Styela clava: one gene and its partners. The protein of the gene in region 2 purifies or fractionates together with the protein of the main gene of each other region. This does not show direct contact. Links are inferred from orthologs where the notes say so. Each region holds a gene or a part of one and is shown on either strand. Other genes may lie near its edges. The genes, in order: protein KRI1 homolog, KRR1 small subunit processome component homolog and nucleolar complex protein 4 homolog.

What was found.
Region 1: the proteins of KRR1 small subunit processome component homolog (region 2) and protein KRI1 homolog purify together in Homo sapiens (affinity purification with mass spectrometry; 3 studies listed by BioGRID and IntAct, with this or other methods). This does not show direct contact. The link is inferred for Styela clava from reciprocal best matches to the Homo sapiens genes KRR1 and KRI1.
Region 3: the proteins of KRR1 small subunit processome component homolog (region 2) and nucleolar complex protein 4 homolog purify together in Homo sapiens (co-immunoprecipitation; 3 studies listed by BioGRID and IntAct, with this or other methods). This does not show direct contact. The link is inferred for Styela clava from reciprocal best matches to the Homo sapiens genes KRR1 and NOC4L.

The regions. Positions count from the first base shown.
Region 1 is NC_135251.1:17,670,540-17,674,299, forward strand, and holds the start of protein KRI1 homolog, read left to right. Parts: upstream 1-1,526; 5' UTR 1,527-1,735; coding exon 1,736-1,811; intron 1,812-3,359; coding exon 3,360-3,544; intron 3,545-3,760. Other genes in the region: uncharacterized protein LOC120336391, read right to left, coding at 54-161, 258-365, 740-800.
Region 2 is NC_135255.1:9,057,958-9,061,717, forward strand, and holds the start of KRR1 small subunit processome component homolog, read left to right. Parts: upstream 1-899; 5' UTR 900-900; coding exon 901-1,923; 3' UTR 1,924-3,760. UniProt on the Homo sapiens protein: Part of the small subunit (SSU) processome, first precursor of the small eukaryotic ribosomal subunit.
Region 3 is NC_135250.1:11,176,141-11,179,900, reverse strand, and holds nucleolar complex protein 4 homolog, read left to right. Parts: upstream 1-1,065; 5' UTR 1,066-1,379; coding exon 1,380-2,936; 3' UTR 2,937-3,075; coding exon of another isoform or gene 3,076-3,240; 3' UTR 3,241-3,407; downstream 3,408-3,760. Other genes in the region: NADH dehydrogenase [ubiquinone] 1 alpha subcomplex subunit 5-like, read right to left, coding at 3,076-3,240.

The DNA of each region.
Region 1 (3,760 bases), on a different chromosome or scaffold from region 2:
AAACAAATAATAAAATACGAAAAATATGAATAAAAAATAACTACACAACATACCTCTACACATGTTAACATCTAACCAATTGTATTTTTCTTCTATGGCTTCGATTCCCATTTCTTTCGCTTTTTGTATTTTGTCGCATATGATCGAACCTGACGGCTGGGCTAAAAAACAAAACTATGATAATCCTAAACAAGATTGAAAAATAGAAAATTTTTGGTTCCATGACGAAGCAAAATAAAAGTAGGCTACTAACTTACCTGATATTGTTATTGATAAAGCTGCACAGGCAATAACTAAAAGTAATATTGACCCTCCTATGATGACCAATTTCGCTTTAGATGGCGGATTCTTTGCCACTTTTTTGTCTGTCGTAATAAAACACGGAAAATTAACTTTTATGAACTTATTTACTGAAAAATTCATTTGGAATTCAGTTGAAGCACTTTATGTCTAAGTTGAGATTGACTATGTTTGATACTCTCATTGAATAAGTCAGTGGTCATTGTCACTCTTCAGTAAAAACCCGAAAATGTATTGACAGTATCGTAGTTGACGCAGTTGTTGCTATTTAGTTATTAAATGCGTATTATTTTTGTTCTTGTTGGGAGTCGGGGAATATAGCTTATATTTTCTTAATATTTTTACCTAGCACTTAAATCACCATGGTCATATAATCTATCTAGCCTATAACGTTAGTAAATTGTCAACATGCGTTAAAAATGTATAATAATTATCTTGCCATTTTTAGCTTTATCGGCTTGCTTGGCTGATTTTTCGCCAGGATTCTTCTTTGGTGCCATGTTACATTTTTAGAGTAGCTTGAATCATTTCACATTTTTAATGGAGTTCGCATTCTAACACAGGATATTGTATAATTATGTATATATAGGTATAGATCTAAAACAGAATAAAGGTTAACAGTTTGATCAATGACTGACAAACAAAACAGACCAGGATGATCACGAATTCAAAATATCTCGTCACAATTGTTAATTTATGCCAGGTTTCAATATTGGTGGATATAGTTCAACCTAGTAAAATGCTCAAATTAAATAATATACAATTTTTAAAATGCAGATGAACAAATTCAAATTCGGAACAATATATAAAATGATACATTCGTATGTTTAAACTGATTGCCAAAAATGCAATATGTAACACTGATAAATATGATTGTTTAATACTGGCATCGACGAGCCGAACAACTAAGAACATCGTCGATTTTGATGTAATAATGGGTTTAAGTGAGGTAGAGGTTTGTATTAGATTTTTCACGCACAAGAGTTTACCGTAATTTCAGGATGCTGCAAGACCTACAGATACAATATAAATCAAGCATATCTATGAATATTAGTCGATTTTATTTAATTACCCATACGTCATAATTTCTGCATAGATACACAGTAAATCCAGCCCATACATTCACTATTTTTAACACCGGCGTTCATAACTAAAATAGTTATCTACATGCACGATTTTTAAATTCTTATTTTATTCTGATTCTAATTTAATATTTTTAGAGAAAGAAAGCGCACACGCGCACACAGGAGTAAAGGATATTCAACTCTGAACAATCTTATTATGGACTCCAGTTGTTCATCACCGAGGGAGTTCCCCTCCGTGTTGATCTACACGCCGTGTTCTGTTGTTTCTTTGCTTCGTCTTGTCTCCGTCGTTATTACTGTATTAATGCTGTAGGTTACCCCCGGTGTTGTTTTCTTTTTATCCTGTTATCATGGAAGATTTCAAGATTAACGAAGACTTTGCTAAGAAGTATAACAAATACCGACAAAAAGAAGAATTGCAAAAACGTGAGTCTAAAATCACTTTTTATCTGAGATCCATCATCAACATTTAAGGATCCATTTCTATCTTTGAAACCTTTTTATACTAGCCACAGTCAGTAATTACCTAGGTAGTATGATACCGTTACCAGTATGATAACGTGATTAGTACATATTAAATAATTCTTGGTAACAATGCCAGCAATGCCCATCTTTTTAATTGTTGAAAATGAACGGAGGCGCAGTTCTTACCACTTCATGGCAGCTCCTGCCACGAACGTACCACGCCGTCTCCTGCCATGGTTTTATGGCGCTATTACGGGTATATTTACAAATTCATGTACCATATTTTAGTTTATCATGCGAAATTATATCTACTTAAACCCTAACCCTAACCCCAAATCCATCCAAACTGTATCCATAAGAAAAACATTCCAACTCACCAAATATTTATCACCATCAGCAGATTAGGGGCAGCCCTGCTATTACAGCCGACCTGCCGTGGTTACGGCATTAAAATTGGTGGTATTCGATTTGCTGCCGTAACCACGGCAGCTCGCTATTGGTTTGTGGCAGCTAAAAAGTCAGTCGCCGTGGGTTTGGTCTTAGTGGCCGTGGTTTGGAAATCCCGCCATGGTTTTGCGGCAGCTGTAGACGCCACAAAATACTTGAAACTGCACTTGAACGATTGCTAAACTGCCAGACATTTTTCCGTTCAGACTTTTTCAATCATGATGGCATATGACGGTTTGAGTTATAACTTTGGCTTTCTGTTGCCTAGGGAGTTGTTTGAAAATAATAATATGCTATATAAATAGATAGACTACACAAATATTTATAGATTTATTTACAGATATTTATTCCTATCAGCGACATATAACCTGCGTCTCTGCATTGTTACAAACCTAACCCTGTAACTCTCTAACCGCAGAACTGTAACACTGCCAAAACATCCGATAAATCAACATGTATTTATATATTATTATTTTTAAACAACTCTGAAGGTGTACTTGAAACAAAATCATAACTCAAATCGTCTTTTCGTCAGCAAAATCTGTTAGGCAAATGTCTGTGGTACAAAAAGTCTTTATACCAAAAGAAACAAATATTCTGTATATTTGTTCCATTATAATGGAGTATGATAATTCTTATATTGCTGTATCATACTGTACTGTCATCTGTTAATATGTTTCAATTTGAACCTAACTGCGCTAACTTGGTTTTTTATTTATTGCTGTGTAGGTATGTTTAAATTCATTATATGAAAAGAATGAAGGACAATGGCATTCGTCTCTCTATGCCCAACCGCGGGAATGTTTAAATTAGTTTTTCATCATTGGTCATATAATTTTTCTTGGTTAATTTTGCGGATTTAATTTACAAAAACAACATGATGTTGTCATTGTGAGAATTGTGGGGTTAGCATTGCTAGTTTAAATATCATAGGGGCCAAAACAAAGTCGATGCCAAACGGGGCAAATGACCACCACCACCAGAGTCGAAATAGTGATAAACAACTAAAAGAGCAAGTAGTACAGTAGTACAAATATATAAAATCCAATTTTATTTTTTCAGTGAAAAGTCGTTACGGCGATGTATCTTCTGACAGCGAAAGTTCAGAATCTGAGGATGAAAATGCTGAAGCATTAACACCAGGGTTGGAAAGAGATTTTCTCAGAACACTTGCATATCTTAAAAATAAAGATCCAGCAATATATGACAAATCTAAAAAATTTTATGAAGAGCATGAAAGCGATGAAGTAAGTTTAAGGCATATTGTATTTGATTTAAATAACTTTAGTTGATAGCTGTACGTGTAGTAACTGAAAGTTATTTTTACTTTGACTCAAGTCATAAAAATTAGAGCTAAACTAAAGTGCTGAAACACACCAATTGGACCACTTATCATTCCGAGTACCCTGACATTACAGCATCACAAGTTCGATAAGAAAAATAGGAAGATAGGAAAGAATGAT
Region 2 (3,760 bases):
AGAACAGAATAATACCTGAATTAAGTAGTTGCATTTTTACTGCCTTTTTCGACTCCAAATTTTTTGAATATCACTTTACCTGGTTATATGAAGAATAAAATATTGTTTGTGATTCAACCTACAGAATGTTTCTATATATGAACATGTTAACCTAGAATACATGTGTAACAAAAAATATTTCAAAGTCTTGATTCAGCATTTCATTTTATGAATATCAGATATTTGTGAATGTGTGTTTTAAACCCAATTTAAGTAAGAGAAACAAGTATCGGTTAGTATTCTGCTTTCGAATATGGTTCTTATGACTTTTCTAGTATTGTTAGTATAGGATATTTGTATCATAATACTTTGAGTCATTGTATAGACCGAGATGCAATTCATAATGACTCAATCGTTTGATCCCTCAATTTCTGATATTTCGCATATAATATCTGCATTGACTTTTTATTGACATGAATTTTGTGCGTATTTGTGCTTGATCTTTGCAGTTCCAACTATTTCCCAATGTTATGACTCTTTCTGTTTGTTCCAATTGTCTTTTTGCACCATCACGAACTTCAGTTTTTGTTTGTTCGATCAGAAATACAATATTAAAGAAATTGTCCAATGTCTGCATTTGAAATGTTTTTTCTCGAATAGTAGTTTAAAAAAATGGTATCATGATTTTGTGAACTGAACTTTGCATTTTTTTTAAATGTTCGAACAACATTGCCGTCTGCAGCTGCTGGTCTTTCTGCGATGCAATGAAAAATTCTGAATATTCTTGATGGTGTTTTGTTTCATGAGTACGCAAGATATTGTTATATTGTAGTCGATTGTAACGAAGATTTTTATTCCTGTTTTAAAATAAATGAGGTACATATTAATTAAGATAAAATTTTGGGAAATACTCTGACAAATATGGATAAAAATATAAATCAAGAAGATCTTCTGACTGTTCCTGATGGATGGAAAGAACCAGAATTCAAAAAAGAGGACAATCCTTACGGAATGGCCGATGAAAGTACATTTGCAACACTTTTTCCGAAATACAGAGAAAAATACTTGCAAGAAATATGGCCTTTGGTTAAAAATCATTTGAAGGGATATAACATAGAAGCTGAACTGGACCTGATTGAAGGTTCTATGACAGTGAAAACGACAAGAAAAACTTGGGACCCTTTTTCAATTATAAATGCTCGGGATATGATTAAATTATTAGCAAGGAGCATTCCTTTTGAACAAGCGTGCCGGATTTTCGAAGATGACGTTGCATGTGATATCATCAAAGTTGGGTCGTTAGTGCGAAATCGTGAGCGATTTGTTAAACGCAGACAAAGACTTTTAGGACCTAATAATTGTACATTGAAAGCTTTAGAACTTCTAACTAAATGCTACATATTGGTACAAGGAAATACAGTAACTGCCCTTGGGCCACACAGAGGCCTTAAAGAAGTTCGCAAAGTTTCAATTGACACAATGAAAAATATACACCCGGTATATAACATTAAATCTCTCATGATAAAACGAGAACTTTCCAAAGATGATAAACTGAGAAATGAATCCTGGGAACGCTTCTTACCCAAGTTTAAAAGTAAAAATGTGAAAAGAAAAAAGAAACCCAGAAGAGAGAAACCATACACACCTTTCCCTCCTCCACAACAAGAAAGCAAAATGGACAAAGAAATTGCTTCTGGGGAATATTTTCTTAAAGAAAAAGAGAGAAGACATAAAAAATTAGAAGAAAGAAAAGCAAAAGAAATAGATTCTGCAATTAAACAAAAGCAAAAAAGAGAAAAGGCTTTTATTCCTCCGAAAGAGCCCACTCCATCTAAAAGTGCACTCAATCAAACAAAAATTGCTATTAAACGTAACAGTAACGATGTTGATATTGATTCCTTGAAAAAGAAAATAAAAAAAGCTAAAGTAACTAAAAAAGCATAATCAAAGAAGATTTTAGAATAAAACTTTAAATTCCATTCTGAATTTCTGAATAAAACGAATTTATCGAAAGAAGAGAATATCAGTTTTTTCATTTGCTCCCAAAAACATGGTTTTTTACTTCTGTCCCTTGCTTGATAATTGCTAGGAGCTAGGCTTTTAGTCTTAGCAGCTAGACGTGAGCTTAGGCTTATATCTTTATGCTTTATATTTGTTTTATTATGGGGATGTTCTGGATAAACAATGTATTCATGATCAAATTCATCTGCCACATAAAAGGTTTCTTTTTAAATGCAGCTCTCGTTAATTTTAATGGGCTTTACATACCGTACCTACAGGCTAAAGTACAATAAGAATTTATCATTATAGAATGTTATCACGAATTGTTTATTTTTATAATATTTCAGACAATATTAAAAACCTAAAGTATTGTTTTTCTAATGCGCATGCTCCCAAAAGTATGTTCATTAATGGTTTAATAATAACAAAAGAAAATTTGTGAATTCTTTTCATCAAAGCAAGAATTAGGAACAGGCATATATTTTGTTTGATCCATTTTTTTATGCTTTTTACGTCAATAGGAGAAATGACATTTCTCGGATTGTTTACTATTCTTATAGTAATGAAATGTTATGACATGGGCAGCTATTTCATAATAATGCACTGAATAGTTTATTACTGAGGAATTCCTAATATTTGAACCAGTAATTTTATAGCTCGATTGTACCTTTCATTATAGTCTGTAACTATTTTAATTCGGGTTGACACAATAGCATAGTACAGTAGTTGTATTGACATTTTGATCTAATACCGTGCAACGTTCACTCTCTCGTTTATATTTTAGGGTCAACGCACCTAAAAGTTTGGTAATTTTAACATACTGACTGTTTCCTGTATGAGTTTATCGATGCGTGAAAATGTCGCACACCTGTTACTATACTTAGCATTGTCGTAATTTGAGATATTAATTTGGATTTTGAAGTCATGAATCACTGTTTCAATTTGTACAAACTAGCAATTATGATATTAGACACAAATTTCTTGTAATCTACTATAATGGTGCTTGCTGTGTTACAGTCAGACAAATTTAAAATTTAGGTTTTAAATTCTATAAAGTGGATTGATTTGTTTTTGTTTATGTGGTTGAAAAAACTATACCTTATTATGGTATTTTAAGGTCATTGGAAATATCATGAATTGTGACTTAACAATTCTCATTTCCTATTATATATGTTTCAAAATTTGTCTGGTGAAGGGACGGCATGAAAACGAATATTCCACTATTCTGAATACATTCTGGAGAAATAGTTTTGAATATGGAGTATCGAATACATTTTAAATTGGGGGCAAGTTCATGTGGAAAGTTACATGAATCACTAATCTTCATGTTGATCCCATCTCATACGAAGTTTTCTCTTATTTTCTAATTTTCGAATAAAAATGTTATTCCTAAAATCCAATTTTTTTTATATCAATCATAATGAAATTTGAATGTATTGGAATATTTAATTCATTTTGGACATCCAAGTAAGTGAAACTCCACAATAAAATTGAATCTTGTCTTAAATGGTAATTTTGCATTTTGTAATCGTCAATCTTTCAAGTCAACACGTCCTTTTGCATTTCCTTTAACATGAGCCAAACGCATGCCATCCCAGTTTATCATAATATACATTCGGTCACGTCATTATGCATGAAATGACACAAATGAAAGCTGCCCAGCTGTGTCTATAAAATATTTAATGCAATGCCTCTGCTTCTGAAAATATTAAAAGAAAATTTTACGCCAAAGCTAATAACACATGCATTTGCTCTACAATTTCTTAAAATGTCAAGTTTT
Region 3 (3,760 bases), on a different chromosome or scaffold from region 2:
AAAAACCTGCAATTATTGCATTTTTTTGAATTCCTAGCATGGAGGTTCACGAGATTAATGACCGGCTACGGCTTTCATCTGGCATTATGAATTTACCGACTAGTCTCATCGACTCCCCTCGGAGATATATATATATGAAAATCCTATTCTTTATAATTTATATATTTGACGTCTTCTCAATTGTTCCTAGTAGAATCACCGTGTCGTCTTGATTTGTGCATCAGGTAAACACCAACGCGATTGTTTATCAATCAGATATAGGGAAATGTGTGTATGTGTCGTTATTTTGTTTTTGCTGTTATTTTATTTTAGTTGCGACCAAAATACAATTGATCGATTGGTTGATTTTATAATCTGGTGATCCCGCAAATGCTTGAAGTATTCAAACCGCAGTGGTTTTCCCTCTTCCTAGGATGAATACAAAAAAAGTTGACTACAACCATCCTTCAAAGTCCACACATATGTATTTTGACTCCTAATCAGCATACCAGACGATAAAGTGGGGAAAAAAAACGAATAAAAACTGTATGTAGAATCAGAAGAGCAGATAAAATATTAATCAAGGTTGAAAGCGCACAGAATATAAAACAGGTTTGCCAAAAAGAAGTGGTACCTGTTCACACACCTAAAAGGTTAGGATTTATATATTTATCTCGATGGGAGATAAAGCCGATAAAATAGCTTAAATATGGCGAACCACGGATTCTCGTCCGGTTACCATTTTTTGGAAAATAATAAAATATACCTGTCAGACCCATTGACTAATATACCAGATCATATTGGTAATTTTATAGCGATTGCCAAATCGTTATGGTTGTAGTTAAATGCCAAATTGATAGTGGGATCCATTTCGATCCGAAACAAAAAATCTTTGACTCCTAAAACTTCACTTTGTTGCACAACTGCACATGCTGCTTTGGATTTAAAACAATCTTTATGCCGACCGTGTTGTAGTCGCTTTGATGCCGACCAACCGCCACCGGTAGTTCAGCCCTTCTCTTCTTACCGTATCGGGCATTTTTACGTTATGTTGTTTTTACGTTATGGAATGACCATGTTTTCTACCAAAATGTGACAATTCGGTTAATATGGTTGAATAGTTTCACTTCATGGTGTTTCTGTATTACTGTATTAAGGATTTTTATATCCGAGTTATGAGTATAAGTTTATTTCGACTCCATAATCAGCAATAGACGATAAAATAATTGATAAAAACAAAATAAATAAACTAATTATAGAATCGGGAAAGCAAACGAAACCAAAAAAGTGTAGTACTAGAATATAGGCATCACGTGCCTGATCAGTATGTTTTCATGTGTAGATTATGATCAATAGCATACTTACTTTTCAGTTTAAATGATTTGTACCTGATATTTATCATGGCCATGTCATTAAAATCAATCAATAATTTGGTTGAAGAGTTATTACAAAGCAGACAAAATTGTAACAAGATTGTGGATTTAATCCCGCTAATCAATTTTGAAGAAAATGAAGAAGTGTTGAATGTTATTTTGGATGGCGTGGGCACATACTTTTGCAATGCTATATGTAACAATGAGTTAACCAAACAAAAAGGAGTATCTAAAGAAATGTCGGAATATCAAGAATGGATCAATATTCGTTATAATGAATGCCTTGCAAAAATAGTGCTCCTGCTGGACCACGATTCTGATATTTTAAAGGAAAAATGCATAGTAACTGTTTTAAGATTTATGGAAAGTAAAATTGGGGTCGCATTGCAAAAAGACAATGTTAGCTTTCCAGAAACAGAGTTAGAATCGCTGATCTGTGCATTCATAATAAATGATACATCCAATCATATGCAAGATGTTTGCACGAATATTTGGAAACTCGATGATGTTAGATATTTTGCCCTCAAATGTATTACTAAATGTTCAGCAGAATGTCTTTCAAAAATAGAATTGAAGTCTATGATGCTGCAAAATATATTCACTTTACTGAATTCAATATCTGAAAGCATGCCGGCTGTCATGGATGAAACTAACTTACATACTTTGGCTAATAATGGTGTAGAAAGAATTTTTCCAGCGGTCAACAAAGATCCAGTCGTCACTGAAAAGTATCAGGACTCGTCAATTCCATTTCCTAAGGCGTTAGATTTAAAAGAGCAAAGGAAAATCTTTGGAAATGCCTGGCTTGAGTTTTTGAATTATGATTTGGATAGTCATCTTTTCAAAAGTGTTCTTGTAATACTTCAGAAATGTGTTATACCAAATTTTGCAAGCCCTTGTATCCTGGCTGATTTCCTTACACGTTCTTTCAACAAAGGAGGTGGTATAGCTCTCTTGTCTTTACACAGCCTGTTTATTCTAATGAATGAACATAATCTGGAATATCCAGATTTTTACACTCATTTATACAGCATGGTTCACCCAAGGGTATTTGATGCTAAATATCAGCCAAGATTTTTTTTTCTTTTGGATGTTTTCCTGTCATCAACACATTTGCCTGCATATTTGGTTGCAGCATTTGCTAAAAGACTTTCACGATTGACGTTAGTTGCACCAACCTGCGCGCAAGAATTATTGGTAAATTTTATTCAGACTTTAATTGACAGACACCCTTCTATAAAAATTCTCATAAACCAAAATACCAAAGCCTTACAAAAGAAAGCTTTAGCTGGCGATCCATACTTGGAAGCAGAAGTTGATCCTGCAAAATGCAAAGCGATGGAAAGCTTTTTATGGGAATTGACAGCTCTTTCGAAACATTGTTCATCTTCGGTAAGCGCTGCGATAAAAAACATTGACAAGGGACCAAAGCAGGACATTACAGACTTGCTTGAAAATACTTATGAAGAAATGTTTGATACACTTTGCGAGAAGGAAATTGTAGACGCTCCTATGAATTACAGAGCGCCAAAAACATTGTTTGGTGGATTTGATGATGCTGTAATGGAACTATGGTCAGTTTAGAAAATAGGACTATGCAATATCTTCTTAAACCTAATTCCCATATCCCTTGTGCATGAAATAAATATTCTCACAGCTCATTAGGTGGATGTTGTAATCAGAAGAACACAATAAAAATAAATTATAATATATTCAAAAATATTCATGGCCAGTCCCATTGTCCAGGTGGTGCTTCTCCAACCAATGTCTCCCATGGTCGACATTCTGCCATTTCCCTGGCAAGATGATGTTCATTCTTGGCCTGAATTATGAGTTCTTCAATTTGTCCATTTCCAATATGCTCTTCTACCAGTGCCATATCTGTGTACTGTAAAATGATAGAGAGAAAATGGCATGTAGACATCATGGATAAATGAGAGTCTGTTGATATTGTGATAAGGAATTTAACTGATAGTCCTGCCCAAGTGTGCATGATCTTCGTCTTTTTAATTTCCAACAAAATGATTAGACGAAATTAAATATAAATCAAGAGTCTTTCACTGTGTCAATGAGAGCTATAAGAGCAGGGATAGGCAAGGTTTTCTGGACCAGGGCGAAAAATTTTGCACAGGCCATGTAAGTGTGAAAAGTTACATTTTATGAACAATATTTACAGTGTTAGAAAAGCAAAAGTGGAAAACAATAGGCCACATGTCAAAACTAAATTTATTCGCAATCTCAACAAACTTGAGCTATTTTTAGTATACTTCAAAATTTGGTTTTAGTTTGGTTGTGGCAGCATCAGACGGGCCAGATAAAATTACACAACTGGCCGGATTTGCCCATTTTCTGGTAAGCTGTTTTGATAACACATTAAGAGTAATGACTAGCATTCAGAACTAATCACC